Callithrix jacchus: one gene and its partner. The protein of the gene in region 2 purifies or fractionates together with the protein of the main gene of each other region. This does not show direct contact. Links are inferred from orthologs where the notes say so. Each region holds a gene or a part of one and is shown on either strand. Other genes may lie near its edges.

Region 1 (3,816 bases), on a different chromosome or scaffold from region 2:
TCACGTGGCCAGGAATAAGGAAGTTACTTGTACCTGCTTTGTGGGAAACAAAAAATTAATTGTTTTTCTCAGATTTTTCTCCCAGAACAGAAACTATTATCTCTTTAAACATAATACCCTTGGTGCCAACCTAACTATTTACATAATTCCCCTACATGGGCAATGGGAAAAATACTTCGGGTCATAAAAGGATAAGAAGTTCTGAAGTAATTTCTATGAAGAATTTTAACGTACAGATTGCTTAAAGCTTCTCTCAGGCTCGAGCAAACATTATTATTTAGGTCATGAAATTCTAGAAGAAAAAGGAATCCCTCAGGGTACTGCCCTATACACAGCTGCCAGCAGCTGCGAAGCTTATCCCTACAGGCAGGGAGTGGTTTCGGCAGGTAAGCAAGAAGAAATGACGGAAGAACCATTTCTGGGGGCTGATATGCTTAAGAGCAGCGGAGACGACTTGGCCTCCCAGGGGGCATTTTTGGTCAGTTTAACACTGGGGAGCAGGTGCTTCTGGCGTCAGGCAAGTGGGGGCCAGGAATGCTGTTCAATATCCTACAATGCACAGGATGGCCCTTACAACAAAGAAATGTCTTGGTCCAGGCGCAGTGGCTCACACCTGTAAATCCAGCACTTTGGGAGGCTGAGGTGGGTGGATCACCTGAGGGTCAGAAGTTCGAGACCAGCCTGGCCAACATGGTGAGACCCCCATCTAAAAATACAAAAAAATTAGCCAGGCATGGTGGTACATACCTGTAAGCCCAACTACTCGGGAGGCTGAGGCAAGAGAATCACTTGAGCCTGGGAGGCAGAGGTTATAGTGAGCCTAGCTAGTGCCACCTCACTCCAGCCTGGGCAACAAAGCGAGACTCCGTCTCAAAAAAAAAAAATGTCTTGGGCCAAGCGCAGTGGCTCACACCTGCAATCCCAGCACTTTGGGAGGTCAAGGGGGGCAGATTACCTGAGGTCAAGAGTTCTAGACCAGCCTGGCCAGTGTGGTGAAATCCCATATCCACTAAAAATACAAAAAATAGGCATGGTGCATGGTTGTGCACACCTATAATCCCAGGTACACAGGAGGCTGAGACAGGAGAATCGTTTGAACCTGCGCAGTGGAAGCTACAGTGAGTAGAGATCATGCCACTCCACTCTAGCTGAGCAACAAATCCAGACTCTATCTCAAAAAAAAAGGCCGGGTGCAGTGGCTCACGCCTCTAATCTCAAGACTTTTGGAGGCCAAGGTGGGCAGATCACTTGAAGTCAGGAGTTTGAGACCAGCCTGGCCAACATGGTGAAACCCTGTCTTTACTAAATACAAATATTGGCTGACCATGGCGCCTGTAGTCCCAGCTACTTGGGAGGCTGAGACAGGACAATCGCTTGAACCTGGGAGGTAGAATTTGCAGTGAGCCGAGATCATACCACTGCACTCCAGCCTGGGTGACAGAGCAAGACTCCGTTGGAAAGGGAAAGGGAAAGAGAAGGAAAGGAAGAAAGGAAAGAAAGAGAAAAAGAGAGAAAGGAAGAAAGGGAGAAAGAGAGAAGAAGAAGGAAACAAGGAAAGGAAAGAAAGAGAGAAGAAAGAAAAAGAAAGAAAAGGGGGGAGAGAGAGAAAGAAAGGGAATGAACGAACTGTCTGGCACAATGTCACTCTGGTCCAGTTGAGAACCACCCCCCCGGCCCCCGCCACCGCCCGCAGCACCCAGAGAGAAGGGCAGGAGGTCTTGGGGCCACACAGGAGGCAGACTCACCCCAGCAGGCACAGGCTCCCGCAGGACAGCCAGGTCAGAGCACCGGCGTTATAGGACAGCTGACTCACGATCATCTTGTTGCAGGAAGGACAACACATCTGGACAGGGCGGTCGGCAAAGGAGATGGGCTGCTGCACATAGACCGTCTGCACGGCAACTGATGGAAGGGAGAGGGACAAACACAAGCTGCTCAGGAAACACGGCCACAGCATTCGCTACAGAACAAAGAGGGGAACGCAGGGACGCCGTAGATATTCTATCTGTATATCCGTGTTCACAGCACGTGTCCATCGTTTGGCTACCTAGGAGAGCCAAAGGGGAAGGGACTCACGTGTCCACTGACGGACGAATGAATTAACACATCAGGGTTTATCCATCCACTGAGTATGATTCAGGCTCATAAGAGGGCTGGGGGCAGTGGTTCACACCTATATTCCCAATATTTTGGGATGACGAGGTGGAGGATCACTTGAGACCAGGAGTTCAAGATCAGCCTGGGCAACATGACAAAACCTCATCTCTACAAAAAACTATAAAAACTAGCCAGGCATAGTGGTGCATGCCTGTAGTCCCAGCTACGCAGGAGGCTGAGGTGGGAGGATCACTTGAGTCTGAGAGGTTGATGCTGCAGTGAGTCGTGACAGTGCCACTGCACTCCAGTCTGGGCAACAGAGCGAGACTTGGTCTCAGAAACAAATAAATAAATAATTGTAACCCGTCTCACACTGCGTCTAGCAGCTCCTGATAAACAATCCCCTTTTTTTACACAGATCCTTTGTAATTTCTGGCTCCCAATGATAAGGGAGAGTTTATCATGCCAGGAAATGCAGGCCAACTCTGTGAGACAACAAGCTCATGAACTGTGTTGACGTAAGAAATGAAATATTAAATAATGCCGGGAAGACACAGCTAAGTGAAAACATCTGTGGACATTCACAAGAATCAGAAGAGAAACCAGGCCGGGCACAGTGGCTCACATCTGTAATCCCAGCACTTTGGGAGGTTGAAGAGGGTGGATAACCTGAGGTCAGGAGTTCAAGACCAGCCTGGCCTACATGGTGAAACCACATCTCTACTAAAAAGACAAAAATTAGCCGGGCATAGTGGCACAGGCCTGTAGTCCCAGCTACTCGGGAGGCTAAGGCTAGAGAATCATGTGAACCCAGGAGGCAGAGGTTGCAATGAGCTGAGATCATGCCATCACACTCCAGCCTGGGCAACAGAGTGAGTCTCTGTCTCAAAAAAAAAAAAAGGAAGAGAATCCAGGGTGATGAAAATCATTAAGCACTTCAGTTGTTAAGTTCATATTTTTGTCAAAGCTACTTCCTTCTGTTCCTTTTTACATTGTTAGAATGCCATTTATATAACCAATGGAAACTAACGACTGCCTAGAGTTAAACTTAGAAATACTCATAGAAAGACCCTCCTTCCAGAAAAGTAGTATTGCATCATACTTTAGCATTTATGTTAATTTTTTAAAAAAAATTTTTAGAAGCAGAGTCTTGTTCTGTCTCCCAGGCTGGAGCACAAGGGTACAGTAATAGCTCACTGCAGCATCAACCTCCTGGCCTCAAGCAATCCTCCCACCTCAGCCTCCCAAGTAGCTGGGACTACAGTCGCAAGCTATCACACTCAGCTACTTCTATTTTCATAGAGACAAAGTCTCACTATGTCACTCAGGCAGGTCTCGAACTCCTGGCCTCAGGTGATCCTCCTGCCTCAGCCTCCCAAGTAGCTGGGACTACAGTCGCAAGCTATCACACTCAGCTACTTCTATTTTCATAGAGACAAAGTCTCACTATGTCACTCAGGCAGGTCTCGAACTCCTGGCCTCAGGTGATCCTCCTGCCTCAGCCTCCTCAGTAGCTTCGATTACAGGTGTAAGCCACTACGCCCAGTTCACACATTTTATTAAGTGTTTTGGGGGTTCAAGAATAAGTTACTCAGGCCAGGCTCCATGGCTCACATTCATAGGATTATCAACTTTGGGAGGCCAAGCGTGGTGGGAAGATCGTTTGAGCTTAGGAGTTAAAGATCAACCTGGTAACATAGTGAGGCCGTTTCTACAAAA
Region 2 (3,816 bases):
TCTTGGACTTGGGAGATGTCTTCTATCTCCCATTCAAACCTTGTTTTGGATGGGCCACGTAAGCCTCATGCCCGTATCACTGAAATGAGAATTATAAAGCCTGCAGAATATGATTTAAGAGAACTAATTAGGTCTGATGGCTTTTAATTGGTACTGTGACATCCTACCTTTGTGGTAAGGTACTACTGTCCTGAGTCTTTTGGCTGGGAAAGGATTCTACAAGGTTGAAGCTAATATTTACAGACATCATGGAGTTTTATTTCTTTGAGTTCTTTATAAACCAAGAAAGTGTTAGTGGTATGGGGTGAGCAAAGCTGCCTTCCAAATCAAGAAAGATTCTCACCCGCTTAGGCTAATTTTAGTATGCTCCTGCTTCTCCTAGGGAAGGAGGAACTTTGGAAAATGTGAGTTAACTGGGAACTGGAAGACCCCTGCTCACTATTTACATAAAAGATTCTCCTGAAGCAACAAAAAACAAAAACAAAAAACAACGAAACACTGCTTAGCTTTATTTTTTGTAAGAACAATACTTACAATCAAAGAGCTGAACTGTTCCCCATTGGAGTCTGGAGTGATCTGAAGCCTTCTGCTCAGTTCCTCTGACAGCTCCTGAGGGCTGGTCCGAGATCCCGGGGAGGCCGGTGGTGGGGGCAGAGCCAGACTGAGAGAGTCTCCAGCAATATTCACTTCCTCTGAAATAGTCTCCCAAGGCTTTCAGAGAAGGAGACACTGGGGTAAATGCTAGGAAATGGGGATCTGCCCAGCTCCCCAACAAAAGCATGTAACAACGATAGCCACAGTAATAACTATAATACCTACTAAGCGCCTCTCACAACCTTCACAATAATCGTGAGGAAGATAAGATATATTTAAAACCTTCAATTAACAGATGAGGAAACTGAGGCACAGAGAATGACCTGCCCAAGGTAACAGCTAGCAAGTGGTAGGGCCATGATGTGAACTAAAGAGGCCTGGTTCTAGACAGAGGCTGTGCTCGTAACCACTTTATACCACCACCTCTCTGAATGGTGACTGATTTCCAGCACTTGTTACTTTATGCATGTGCCAAAACACACACACACACACACACACACACACACACACACACACACACTTTTCTCTTGACATGGACTTCCTTTTTAATCACCGCATTGTGAATGATCTTCCTAAGACAACGTCTAAAATGGATTTTTAGTATGTAAACAGAGCTGATAAGACATCATGGAAGTTTATGGCTCATCTGTTGTTTAATTCATAAAGTTTTAAGTAGTATATCATAACAGCTTAAAGGGAAAATTGCAAATTTTTATTCACCCAAATTTATATTTTCATGGTAATAAATTTCTTTCAAGGTGTCAAAGCGACTCAGTAAAAACGTGCATGTGATATCCAAACAAGTTATAGGGCTCATTCAACAGCTCAACTATGATAACTAAGTTGTCATTTAATGAAACATGGTTAGACGCTGGTGAAAAATAAATTACAAAGTGAAAATATCTTCAGATTTTCATACTGAAAGATAATGTTGGCTGGGCTCATTGGCTCATGCCTGTAATCCCAGCGCTTTCGGGGGCTGAGGCAGATGGATCATTAAGTCAGGAGTTCAAGACCAGCCTGGCCAATATGGTGAAACCTTGTCTCTACTAAAAATACAAACAAACAAAGAAACAAACAAAAAAATCAGCTGGGTGTGGTGGCGGGCGCCTATAATCCCAGCTACTCGGGAGGCTGAGGCAGGAGAATTGCTTGAATCTGAGAGGCAGAGGTTGCAGTGAGCCGAGATCACACCACTGCACACCAGCCTAGGAGACATAGCAAGACTCCATCTTGGGGGAAAAAAACAATAATGTCATTCCCAGTTCTATCAATAATAGAGCCACATGTACTTGTCAAATATGGCTTTTATAGCACTTTCAAATTAATTAATATCCATATGGTAATTAATTCACTGTGTCAACATCATCTTTACATTCTCAACAACATTTACTGAGAGAAGAATTGATGATATAAAATCAGTCTGGAGAACATGGAAAGAAGGAGCTGCAGGGCTCTGCAGCATTCTGGGGACATCGTACCTCTGGGACATCCCCGCCCTCCGAGGGCTCCGGCTCCAAGTCCTCGCTGATGTGCCTGCGGGACCGGAAGCGCCGGTGCGCTGCCTCCTGGTTGATCTGTCTGATGTTATTGTCCGACTCAGAGGACACGTCCCTGAGCACGCAGGAAAGGGGGAAGGAGAAAAAGAGGAGAAGTGGTTGAGATGGAGCCTTTCATGACAGTCCAGTGCCCACAGAGGGCCAGATGCCCACTCAAGCGTCAGCATAAAACACTGACTAGCTGGTCATCCAATGTGAGAATTCTCCCACCATATCACAGCTGAAGTATACGTTAAGGTTCACTGCAATCAAATAAGTGCAGTTTTAAAATGCATTACACCATTTTGAGTATCTTTCAGGCATTTATTTGAGTATCTTTCAGGCATATTTGAGTATCTTTCAGGCATATATAAGGTACTAAAGTATACCTTAGTGTTAAATAAAAAACAGAAATCAAAGTCCTCTACCCATCTGTCACAGTGACAAGTCAGGCCTCTGGAAGGAGAGGTGACAGGCGAGTTCACACAGCAGCTGGGCAGTCCCAATCCTTCTAGAAGTCCAGCAACGACAAGGCAGCTACTTTTGGTCACCAGCAATTTGACCAAAGACTACAAAAGGTACAAATTCAAAGCTGCCATCGAGATGAAAGTACATCTGATCCAACGTGAATTCTTTTCAGCTGCTTTCTAGCTCATTTTGACAGAATCGCAAAATTGTGACACTGCATTTCTCCTCTTTACCCTACTTTAAAAATCCTAGTAACTCTCAAGTCAGCTGGGGTCTGAAGACCACCACCACATCACACCGTATTTTTTGTCATGTGATGCTCTCGATTCAGGATCTAAAAGTTTTGATTCAATTTTGAAAACTTTTTTGGGCTGGGCATGCTGACTCATGCCTATAATCCCAACACTTTGGGAGGCAAGGGTGGGTGAATCACTTGAGGTCAGGAGTTCAAGACGTGCCTGGCCAACATGGCGAAACCCCGTCTCTACTAAAAATATGAAAATTAGCCAGGTGTGGTGGCATGTGTCTGTAGTCCCAGCTACTCAGGAGGCTGAGGCAGGAGAATCACTGAACCCAGGAGGCAGAGGTTGCAGTGAGATGAAATTGCACCACTGCACTCCATCCAGGACAGAAGAGTGAGACTCCATCTCAAAACAAATACAAAAACAAACCAACTATTTTTTTGCAGTAAATTAAAGGCAATCATTCTTTGGGGGGAAATACTAGTCAGAGGCTTTTACTGTACAAGTTTAAATGCCAAAAAGGTTTTCAGGGAAAACTCTCACAGATACTTTCAATAAGACAGCATATCATGTTAATGAAAATTACTGCACAAGTTAATATCTCAAAAGTTGAAATCTTTATTTCACATTAACTGAAATATAGTACTTATCAAGAACACTCATTATAGACTCCGTCTAAAACACAAATTTTAAAATTTTCTTACACATTCTGAAATGAACTTATGCCATATCCCAATAAAGAGCCTGCTAGCAGAGGCTGTGGTGGAAACTTTCCTTAACTAACTTTCTTCTTGCCTTCTGGAAGTCATGCCCATTGGAAGGAGGCACTCCTCAGGTTCCACCAAGTTCTGCTGTGTCCTTCCTGGCTCAGCCCCTCCCTTTGGCATTGCTGCCTCTCTGATGGGGTAGCTATGCCTCTGCCTTCTCCCAAAACTACATGTGAACCTGAACCTGGATTGAGAACTGCATTTTTC

The links.
Region 1: the proteins of NEDD4L (region 2) and LITAF purify together in Homo sapiens (affinity purification with western blotting; 3 studies listed by BioGRID and IntAct, counting the BioPlex papers as one, with this or other methods). This does not show direct contact. The link is inferred for Callithrix jacchus from reciprocal best matches to the Homo sapiens genes NEDD4L and LITAF.

Annotation. Positions count from the first base shown.
Region 1 is NC_133513.1:17,571,023-17,574,838, reverse strand, and holds part of LITAF (lipopolysaccharide-induced tumor necrosis factor-alpha factor), read right to left. Parts: intron 1,903-3,816; coding exon 1,746-1,902; intron 1-1,745.
Region 2 is NC_133514.1:101,373,249-101,377,064, reverse strand, and holds part of NEDD4L (E3 ubiquitin-protein ligase NEDD4-like), read right to left. Parts: intron 2,209-3,816; coding exon 2,076-2,208; intron 712-2,075; coding exon 535-711; intron 1-534. UniProt on the Homo sapiens protein: E3 ubiquitin-protein ligase that mediates the polyubiquitination of lysine and cysteine residues on target proteins and is thereby implicated in the regulation of various signaling pathways including autophagy, innate immunity or DNA repair.